Macaca mulatta: one gene and its partner. The protein of the gene in region 2 interacts with the protein of the main gene of each other region in a pairwise test. Links are inferred from orthologs where the notes say so. Each region holds a gene or a part of one and is shown on either strand. Other genes may lie near its edges.

Region 1 (5,684 bases), on a different chromosome or scaffold from region 2:
CAGGCATGTGCCACCAGGCCCCGCCAATTTTTGTATTTTTAGTGGAGACGGGGTTTTACCATGTTAGCCAGGCTGGTCTTGAACTCCTGACCTCAAGTGATCCACCCACCTCAGCATCCCAAAGTGCTGGGATTACAGGCATGAGCCACTGTGCGCAGCCCTGTGCTTTAAGTTTGATTGTAAGACAACATCCGTTCTTCTTCCTTTTCAACCCAATGTCTGGACTAAGTTTAAAAGTGATTTTCACATTGATCTCTTTGTATACGTTAGTCACTGTCAACCCACCAAAAAGAAGTTATTAAACCACAAAAACAGAAGGCAAAATCCATTTCCTTTCAGAGAATCAATCAATACTTTTAGGTATGACCATTATTACAATCATGAGAATCCTTTGCATTTTCCTGGAATCTTACAGTTTACAATATAATTTTACCTATATCATCTTCAGTCCAACCCTGTGAGGTGTTAGTTTTGTCTTCATTTTACAGTTGAGGAAATCAAGGCTCAGAGAGATTAAAGTATCTATCTACAGTCATTCAATGACAAGACTGGCTCTAACTGACTCTGAATTCAGTGTTTCTTCCACAACACTAAATTGTTTCTTGGCAAGGCTGGAAAGGATGGCAGGACAACCTGGAGCAGGCTTACGAAGGGCGCTGATTCACTTGAGATGGCAAAAACAGCAGGGCTTAGTTGACAGCAACTTGTAAACAAGATTTTTAGAACAAATGCAGTTCATGTTAGACTAAACTATCCACAGGCATCCCACCAATACCTTTTATGTGTGTCTCAGTGACAAAATAGGCCTTCTCACTCAGTACAGGAGTATTTTCTCCCTTAATATTTTTAAAATTCAAAATATTTCAAAATATAATAAAATTGACTAAGTCAGCCAAGTAAAGCCTAGGAAACAAAGACTTTTTTTTTTTTTTTTTGACCTCTTTTGACCTCTGGCTGTGTGTGCAGGTACCAGACGGAGCTGTCCCTGAGGCAGCTGGTGGAGTCTGACATCAACAGTCTGCGCAGGATTCTGGATGAGCTGACCCTGTGCAGGTCTGACCTGGAGGCCCAGGTGGAGTCCCTGAAGGAGGAACTGCTGTCCCTCAAGCAGAACCATGAGCAGGTAAGAGTCCTAGCCCCCAATATCCCAATACTGAGAGCTCTGTGATCCCCCTGAATAGGATAAGGTAGGTCTTGATTTGCTAAGCACCCTAGACCTAACAACATTTTGCTGGTTGCTCAAAACGTACTTTGGGACTTGTTGGGGAATGAGTGACAGCTTCCCTTTTTTACATAAAGGAGTGTGGTAAGCTGACCTATTTCCCCTTGGGACCCAGACATGTAAGGCTGAAAGATCACACAAATATCTTTAAACTACTGTCTACTGTTTGATGCTATCTATTAGCTTCTGAAGAAGTGCCGTGTTAAAGACCGAGACTGGAAGGAGATAGAAAATATTCTTATACTCTGTTTCATCTAGATAACTAGAACTCAAGCTGGATGAATGGATGGATGGATGAATGGATGGATGGATGAACTGAGCGATGGGAAAAACAGAAGAAATGAAATAACTCAAATAATGGTTGACTCAGATCTCATGGCTGAATGCAATACAGGAAATCAGATGCATGTCTCAAACATTAGATGTTTTCATGATGAAAACATGTGTCATACTCTAGTAGTATCCCATGAAATAAATAGGAGGAACGAAACCTGGTTTCTCTATATTTAAGTAGCAACAATTGTAAGCCAATTATCATGCCAGGCTCATCACTGAGCAAAGGGGAAATAAAAAAGAAATGATAGAATCTTAGATTGGGTAGAAATACTAGCAATCATTTAATGAAGCAGCCTCATCATACAGATGAGGGAAGGGATTCAGAGAAGAGGCCAGAATCTCCAGAGGTGGCAGCTGGGCTTCAACTCATGTTTCCTAAGTTGCAATGCAATCCTCTTCCCATTATATTGAACTGCCTCAAAGAGGTTATTGATAGACTTCTTTCTGTGGGTTTATTTCTTCCCTTTTCTCCATTAGGAGGTCAACACCTTGCGCTGCCAGCTTGGAGACCGCCTCAATGTGGAGGTGGATGCTGCCCCTGCTGTGGACCTGAACCAGGTCCTGAACGAGACCAGGAGTCAGTATGAGGCCCTGGTGGAAACCAACCGCAGGGAAGTGGAGCAATGGTTCGCCACGCAGGTGGGCATCTAAGCACATGGCCACTCAGGAACTGAGGCCCACCCTACCGCCCTGGAGGCAGGGTCTGATCCTTTCTCCCCTTGGGTGTTTCAGACCGAGGAGCTGAACAAGCAGGTGGTATCCAGCGCAGAGCAGCTGCAGTCCTACCAGGCGGAGATCATTGAACTGAGACGCACGGTCAACGCCCTGGAGATTGAGCTGCAGGCCCAGCACAACCTGGTGTGTATTGTTCAGCCCTGCTGGTGAATGATGGGAAGTTGGGAGGCAGAGTCCTGGGGACATCCTTGGGGCCACACACTCTCCTTAGCTCCTTGGAACTTGTGAGTTTTTTGGAACTCCATGGAGGAACCCTACAAGGAGCAGCTCTCTGACATTCCTGATCTTCCCCACCACAGCGAAACTCTCTGGAAAACACGCTGACGGAGAGCGAGGCCCGCTACAGCTCCCAGCTGTCCCAGGTGCAGAGCCTGATCACCAACGTGGAGTCGCAGCTGGCGGAGATCCGCTGTGACCTGGAGCGGCAGAACCAGGAGTACCAGGTGCTGCTGGACGTGCGTGCCCGGCTAGAGTGTGAGATCAACACGTACCGGAGCCTCCTGGAGAGCGAGGACTGCAAGTGAGTACCTGGTGGGCGGCACCCCTGCAAGGCACAGTCACTATTCTACTGTAGGATAAAACAGGGACTTTGAAGATAAAGTTTCAGATGCCAACCTGTCTGTAGAGGCCAGAGTTTTATATTACAGCTGTGGGAAGTATTGGATATTTATTGCTAACATTACCCGGGCTAAATATATTTTCTTTTACAAAAGATAGACATGGGACTTGACTGCTTCCTCCAGCAGAGATTTTTTGGATGCTGATGGGCAAATAAATCTTTCTATCTTCAAGACTGTCTTGTCACCACAAAAAGGAAAACAAAACTGTAACAATGATCACTTTTTCTGATTTAAATGGAACTTTCAAATCCTCCATTTCATTAATTCTTGTTAGAATCATCTGAGGCAGCAGAATGGGACTCATTATCACCATCTTATAGATGAGCATTTGAGTGTCAATAGGGATGATGATCAATCACTATCAATACGGCAATTGCCAGCGAACATAATATTTTTACGAACACAATCTTGTGGAATTTTCATAATCCTGTGTGGTTGGTACTACCAGTCCTACCTTACAGGTGGGAAAGCTGAGGCTTAGAAGGAGGAAGTGACTTTCTTGTGTGTCCAGGGTCATAGAAGGAAGGCTGGCATTCCACCTTACATGTTCTTTGCTCATTTCTGCCATTGTATCAGAACTCTGTAGAAGAAGTGATCCAAACAAGGCATGGCTTCCTAGGACATCAGAGAACGATTTCTGCTTGTTTCTATGTTTCTTTGGGTTGAGCCTCCCTTGTTTGAATCACCCTTCTCATGCTGACAGTATAATGCTTCTGCATCCCAGGTTGCCCTCCAACCCCTGCGCCACCACCAATGCATATGAAAAGTCCATTGGATCCTGTGTCACCAATGCTTGTGGTCCTCGTTCCCGCTGTGGGCCCTGCAACACCTTTGGGTGCTAGATACTCTGGGGCCAGCAGGAGTATAGCATGAAGACAGAACTACCATCGATGGGCCAGTTCCACATCTCCGACAACCATCAGCCACCAGACCCCACCCCAAGGCATCACCACAAATTATGGTCTGGAAGGAGAACAAATGCTCAGCGTTTGGGTCTGACTCTGAACCTAGGCCCACTTGATCCTCCTCACCCCAAGCCCTTCTCCTGTACTCAGTTTGGGTTCTGATGGTCAGAGGTTGGAGCTGTGACAGTGGCATACGAGGTGTTTTGTTCTCTCTGCTGCTTCTACCTTTATTGCAGTTCCCCAAATCGCCTAATAAACTTTCCTCTTGCAAAGCAGACATGATTCTCATTTGTATTCATTATTTTCAAAGTGTTGACTCTCTGTGTGCTTCTTATAAAGCCACTTGAAAGCAGAAGGTGGACTTTATAGGTTAATCATCTCCTAAAAGGTCTTCATCACCTTCATTAACATTCATTAAGCACAGTGAGTCCCAGCATCCACTTAGGCCAGCATAAAACAAGTGGGATCACTAGGACAAGAGGCCTCATCTGAATATGATAAACATATTTCTCATGGGACCTTACTCAGTAAAATGCAACGGATAGCATCTCTAGACAGTTCCACTCTTTCTTTTAAGTCCCTACCAGAGGATGACAGAAGTTAATATTTATTGAACACCTACCAAATACCAGGAATTGTGCTACTAATTTTTTCTCTTCCTCACAGTGAGGAAGGATCAATGGCAGGACTGAACCCAGAGTTCACTCTCTGCTTGTCAGTTACACGTAAGGTGTGACTATGAGAGGATAAAACTGATTTCAAACAAGCACCCAGAGTTTATACATCCTCCTGGGGAGACACAATGCTATTAGTGCTCAAAGCATCTTTGAAACTCTCCTTTGTGAAATACTGAATAACTCAATACTAAAAAGCACCACCTTGCCATCTTCCATATTTGAGCAATACCCAACCTATTTTGAAAGTGTTTCTTTTCTCACTTGAATTGTTTAACCATGGGAACTACATATGAATTTTGGGACCCTCCCCCTCAAAGTTATTTAGAGTCAAATTAGGATATTACAAGTCAGGTGTCTGCAAATGCTAACAGTGACCACTTTACTGATGCCTGGCTCCTACTGGTGCCTAACTGATGTCTAACCAAGGTTAATGGTTCCCATCACTGTGCATGTTGTGGTTTGTGCCAAGGCCACTCCCCCAGTCTGCAGATTGTCCCCAGATTAAACAATCTGCTAGTTATGTCTTCTTTCCTTGAGATGAAGCTTATACTATCTCCCCTGCTGTGATGATGCTGGTTCCATCATCACATGTCAGTCTTAAATTCTTAAAATTTTTTTTTTTTTGAGACAGAGTCTCACTTTGTCACCCCAGCTGGAGTGCAGTGGCATGATCACGGCTCACTGCAACCTTGAACTCCCCGGGCTCAGGCTATCCTCCCACCTCAGCCTCTTGAGTACATGGGACTACAGGCATGCGCCACCACGCATGGCCAATTTTTGTATTATTTGTAGAGACAAGCTGGGTTATCCACGCTGGTCTTGAACTCCTGGGCTGAAGCGATCTGCCTACCTCGGCCTCCCAAATTGCTGGGATTACAAGTGTGAGCCACTGTGCCTGGCCAGTCTTACATTCTTGCGCTCTCATATTCTAGTTCATTTAATATCTACTCCTTTGTTGTTGATGTTGCTGCGGCTTAGGCAGGAGACCTTGGAAGATCATCTGAGTGATACTCCATGCTCTGCTCAGAATGTCTTAGACCCAGTTTGTGGACTCTAGCCTCTCTTTCCTCAGGGAGAGTTCATTCCCCGGAGCCGCCTCCAGGCCTCATGCAAATCGCCCTTGTTCACTTTATCCCGGCAGTTCTCCACACATTCTGGGATTACTGTCCACTGATAGTTACCGCTCAGC
Region 2 (5,808 bases):
AGTCTTGTTCATTAATATATATTTCTTAAGTGCCAGCCATTTTGCTATTACTAATTGTAGGTTGGTATTCTTCAAAAGTTTTGGGAAGAATACAAGAGAAAATCAAAGACATAGGGAGTGCCTTTCTATCTTCCCATAAAAATCATGTGGACCTTTTATTTTTCAGTCAAAAGGAAGACTTTATGTGAACAATCCTCTTACTGACCACCCTATAGCCATTACTGAAAATAGCCTTCTCTATATCACTGAAGCTTTAAAACTCACAACAATCTTTTATTTTTGCCTCCTGTTCGATAACTATGAAGTTTTTATTTATATCTTAATCCAAATATATCCCTTTTTTTCTTTTTTATCATTCCCATTATGACCTCCATGACGTTTAAAATGTTATGGCCATGAGCGGTGGCTCACGCCTGTAATCCCAGCACTTTGGGAGGCCGAGGTGGGCAGATCGCTTGAGGCCAGGAGTTCGAGACCAGCCTGGCCAACATGGTGAAACCCCATCTCTACTAAAAAATACAGAAATTAACCGGGCGTGGTGGTGTGCGCCTGTGATCCCAGTTACTCGGGAGGCTGAGGCAGGAGAATCGCTTGAACTCAGGAGGCGGAGGTTGCAGTGATAGGCCATTGTATTCCAGCCAAGGCCACAAAGCGAGACTCCATCTCAAAATACAGTATAAATTTAAAAAATAATAAATTAAGTTAAAAAATAGATAAAATAAAATGTACATGTTTCAATTATACAAACACAGAGGTGGTGTATTAGTCTGCTTGGCTGATGTAACAAAATACCATAGACTGAGGTGGCTGTAACACCATTTACTTCTCTCAATTCCGGAGACTAAGTCCCAGATAAAGATGGGGCAGTTTGGGTTCCAGGTGAAAGCCCCTTCTTGCTCTGTCCTCACATGGCACACAAAGGAGAACAAGCTCTTTGTTGTTTTTTCTCTTAAAGGCACTAATCCCGCCATGGGGGACCCACCCGGGTGACCTCATATAAATTGAATTACCTCCCAAAGGCTCCATCTCCAAATACCAACATATCGGGGTGGGGCGGGGCTTTAACATACGGATTGGGGGAGGAGGGAAATAGTTCCGTCCACAGCTGGTGGCAATGCCCAAGCTCAACGCAAGATTAAAGTACTGAATTACAGAGAGCTGTGAGATGAGGTTAGAAAGACTCCTCATACGGAGGTCATCAAGTGCCAGACTAAAGAGCCACTGGGCTTTTTAGATCATAAATCCGGGGGTTGCTTATGGGATGGATTTTGTTAGAGATCACGAGTGGGAACACCATTGGGGGGGGTAATATAACAATTCCTGAGGGAAAAATAAAAACGAACACTACGACAACCACCCTCGAATGCACCACCACCAGGAAGCCTTTCCCGACGCTTCGCCAGAGAGGTTCTCTTTAAACGCGAATTTTTCTTGAGTTACCCTAGAAATGTGAGTTCCCCTCCACATCTCGCCTTCTCTCGTACACGTTCCTGTGCGTTTCCTAACCTTCCACTTCACGGTGCCTGCAGCACGCGGTGTGTCCGCGCGCCCTACAGCCCTGCACCGCGCTTCCGGCGCAGCCGCCCGCGCTCGGCCCCAGGTCCCGCCCTCCCGCATCAGGATGCGCGTACGGCGTTTGTGGACTTGACCGCAGACCAGGAAATCCCGCGGGCCTGGCCACTTCTGGGCGCTAGGACCACAGCCGGCCACCCCACGGACGCCGGGGACGCTCTTCTGGGCCCATTTCAGGGCCGCGCGTCGGGCTCGCAACAACGGCGTCCAGCTGGCCTGAGGCGCAGGGGTGGGGCTCACGTCGTCGGACGGTTGCATGGATTATTTTCGATTGATTTCCGAACCTTCAGGAAGCAGACACGCTCCCCTTCCTTCTTAAGAGATGATGGGGCGGCAGCCAACGAAGGCCCGAAGCCGCCTCCTTTTCTGGGTGGGGAGCTAGGAGATGCTCAGGAGGGACCTCCCCGATTCTGAGCATCATTTTTGGCAGGAGGCTACATATGAGCAGTAATTGACATTCATCATTCTAATGTGCAGATTATGTCAGTACGGATGCTACGATAGAACAACTAAAAAATGACAGAAATGGTTTCACTGTTTTTAAACTCTGGGAGCCTACTCCTTTAAGAGATTGGGCCGTGCGCCAAGCCCACCTGGTCCCGGGGTGCCTTGCGCGGCTCGCCGACCCCCCCCCCCCCCGCACCCCTCCCAACTGGCGTCCCAGAGCTCCCTGCGCGGCGGTTTCACTTCCGGCGGGCTACGTGCGCGCGGCGAGCGACGGGCGTACTTTTGCGTGGTTGCTCCACCCCCTCAGCCTTACCTTCGCCGCCGTTGGGGCTGGAAGTTCTCGCCAGGTCGGTGCCGGGCTAGAGAGATGTTCCCCGGCCCGCCTCGGCTTTGAGGCGAGAGCAGTGTCCCAGAGCCCTTTCATCTTGCTGACGGCGTCGAGCCCCGGGCAGACATGTCCACAGGGTTCTCCTTCGGGTCCGGGACTCTGGGCTCCACCACCGTGGCCGCAGGCGGGACCGGCACGGGCGGCGGTTTCTCCTTCGGAACGGGAGCATCTAGGTAACCGCACTTTCTCACCTTCCTGGGCCGGATTCCCCCCGAGCCCCACCCCCGCAAAGCTCCCCTCGTGTCCCCGTCCTCTCTCTTCCCGCTGGCTTCCTTCCCGGTGAGGCTGGAGAGAAGCACATAATCTAGCCGCCCGGCGTCGTAGGCCTCTCGCTCGCCGCGGTACCCGGGCCCAGCGCGGCCTGGTGAAGTGGAGGGCGGGATGGGTTTTGTGCTGTGAGGTTTCCAGATCCGCGTATAGTTCAGGCATTGTTTGGACCTAGTGAGGTCTTGACTGCGTGGAGGGGCCTGGGGGTCTTCCCCGGAGCTTTAGCGATGCGTCAGTCTTAGGCGTAGAATGAACGTTGAATGAATGAATGAAATTATAGCATGTTGTGGAGTTTTATGGTAGATAATTCCAATTTCATTGCAGCATTTGCGGTTTTGGATATTACGGTGTTTTAATAACTTTGTGGTTGTTTTTAACCAGCTTTTCAAGCTTCTGTGCCACATGGGACCTCATCTGCTTTTGTTAAAACAACAACAACAAAAAACACTTCTTTGCAGTGTTTTTTAGTGGTAATTTTGTGCATTATGTGCAGATTAGTATATCTGACGCAAGAATGTTGTGTTGTAATCACTCAACATTGTCTTTTACTTAAATTACGAAACGTAGGTAGCATGTTCCTCGTTTTTGTGCAACCCATTAGTCCAGGTGGCGACAAAAACATAACTGTCCAGAAAGAAACAAAGTGGTGAGGCATTTATTTTAATGAGAGATTTAAGCTTTAGAACTCAATTTTTTAAAAGATAAAGGTGGAGGGGTTCATAAAATTAAGGAGTGTGCACACTGTCAACAAGATACTTCCTGAAGCTTAAAAGATGCGGCTGTAGATTTAAAAGGCAAAAACTTAAGCATGACCTGCAGTTTAAAAAGGGAGGGAGGAGGAATCACAGGCTACACAGTCAAATTCAGAAATTTGAATTTTCATCCGTACCTCCGTTATTCTTACTCGCTCAACAGCAGGTCCTAATAATTTTACTTCTGCCATTTCCGTTTGTCTTTATTTCCAGTTCCACCACCCTGCTCAGGCTATTATCATTCATGGAACAAATATTTATTGGACAGATTCCCATGTGCAGGGCTCTGTTTTAGGTATTAAGAGTCTTGCTCTCTTGATCCTTAACATTCTTACGAAAGTACTTCTGATTCTTGTCAGATTTTTAACCAGCTGTCTTTCTTGTTTTAGATGAAAACTACTCCAATCAACTTCTTCAATCTGTTCTGCCACATTGTAGCCAGAGTAATTTTTTTTAAAACATTGTCATTGCTCCCCCCTTTAATCATTTCCCGCTATCTTTAGAGTGAAGTTAAAGAAAACAGACAAACAAAAAAACTTACCATAGTCTGCAAGGTCCACTTCTGCTGGAACCTCTGGGTACTCATCTTGAGCCCGTCTTTTTATTTTAGTTATCCAGACCCACTGTTAAAAACAAACACGCAACTACCACCCGGTGCACCACTACCTGCACACAAATAAATCACTGAAATAAAGTTTCCGAGAAAGATACTAACCCCTACTTCATGGGATGCACTTTGATATTTTCTATTCTATTTCTTTTTTTTTAATGTTGTTTATGACTTGAATTAATTTTTATATTTCTCTCATGGTCCTGATCTTAGTGTGAGAAAGCCTGTCCTAGCAACATGACCTTTTCTCTTTTCAAGTGGGCTTTGCCAGCCCCTTCCTTGCCAGTATCAAATGGTCTTTTTCCCCAGAGAGGCCTTTTCTGACCTGTCAGTCTAGGGGAGATTTCTGTTCTCCTAGTACTCTTAGAGTGCTGATCACAATTGTAATCAGTTTGTTACATTTATTGTTAACTTGTTTGTTGTCAGATCTCAGCTCTAGAATAATTAATATCTGTGTTTCTCACTAACTAGAAACTGCCTGAGGGCAGGGTCTGAGTCTTACCACCTCTTCCTCAGTCCCAAGGACAGTGCCTGGCATAGAAAAAGGGCTTTAGTAACAATTTGAATGACTGAGCAAATGAGTTATTAGTAATAAGTTATAAAAAATTACCCAAGTTTTAGAGAGGCTTGGATAAATTAGTGAAAGAGGAGACAGTCTGACATAAATTTGTTAGAGTGCTGGTTGGGAGGCCTGACAGCCCCTAGTGCCACCTGGTGATTTGATGTCTTGAGGTCGGTCATTTTAGGGGAGTTCTCACATCTGGAACTCCTCAACTCAGGAGTGGGTTACCTGAGTTGATGAGTGAGATGAAGCATTTGAATATTTAGCATCAAGTCTGGCACTTGCTAAGTGCTCAGTAAATGTTAGCTATTATGTTAGCTGCCAAGTCCGCATTAGGGCAAGCTGGCAAGTTAAAATAACATTCCTGATGTGATTGAGTCAAGTTGGTTTTTATACAGCACATCCTATCAAGTGCTTGGCACATAACATTGGTTTGAGGCAATAATTGGTCAAGTCTAGGGTAGCTTTTGCTTTTCTTGAGTTTAGTAAATTTCACTGACACCAAAATTTCTCTTTTGCTTTTGTGATAGAGTAAAATTTCATTTTGATGTGTTTCTTTGGCAGCATTTTCAACTTTAATTATGTAATATTTCATAATATCTTCAGTTATGTTGTCAAGACATTAAAAAATATATATATGTATATATATATATGGCACAATCTCGGCTCACTGCAAGCTCCGCCTCCTGGGTTACTCAATTCTCCTGCCTCAGCCTCCTGAGTAGCTGGGACTACAGGCGCCACCACCACGCCCGGCTAATTTTTTTTGTATTTTTAGTAGAGACAGGGTTTCACCGTGTTAGCCAGGATGGTCTTGATCTCCTGACCTCATGATCCACCTGCCTCGGCCTCCTAAAGTACTGGGATTACAGGTGTGAGCCACTGCGCCTGGCCCTTTTTTTTTTTTTTTTTTTTTTTTTGAGGCAGAGTCTTGCTCTTGTTACCTAGCCTGAAGTGCAGTGGCGCAATCTCGGCTCACTACAGCCTCCGCCTCCTGGGTTCAATCGATTCTCCTGCCTCAGCCTCCCGAATAGCTGGGATTACAGGCACACCACCACACCAGGCTAATTTTTTTTTTTTTTTTTGATATTTTTAGTAGAAACGGGGTTTCACCATGTTGGCCAGGCTGGTCTCAAACTCCTGGTTCAGGTGATCCGTCCTCTTCGGCATTCCAAGGTGTTGGAATTACAGGCGTGAGCCACTGCGCCCA

What was found.
Region 1: the proteins of NUP58 (region 2) and keratin, type I cuticular Ha3-II interact in binary tests that used the Homo sapiens proteins (3 or more experiments, as listed by UniProt). The link is inferred for Macaca mulatta from reciprocal best matches to the Homo sapiens genes NUP58 and KRT33B.

The regions. Positions count from the first base shown.
Region 1 is NC_133421.1:65,705,502-65,711,185, reverse strand, and holds the end of keratin, type I cuticular Ha3-II, read left to right. Parts: intron 1-966; coding exon 967-1,123; intron 1,124-2,035; coding exon 2,036-2,197; intron 2,198-2,290; coding exon 2,291-2,416; intron 2,417-2,592; coding exon 2,593-2,813; intron 2,814-3,637; coding exon 3,638-3,755; 3' UTR 3,756-4,093; downstream 4,094-5,684.
Region 2 is NC_133422.1:5,528,704-5,534,511, forward strand, and holds the start of NUP58 (nucleoporin p58/p45), read left to right. Parts: upstream 1-2,324; 5' UTR 2,325-2,473; coding exon 2,474-2,580; intron 2,581-5,808. UniProt on the Homo sapiens protein: Component of the nuclear pore complex, a complex required for the trafficking across the nuclear membrane.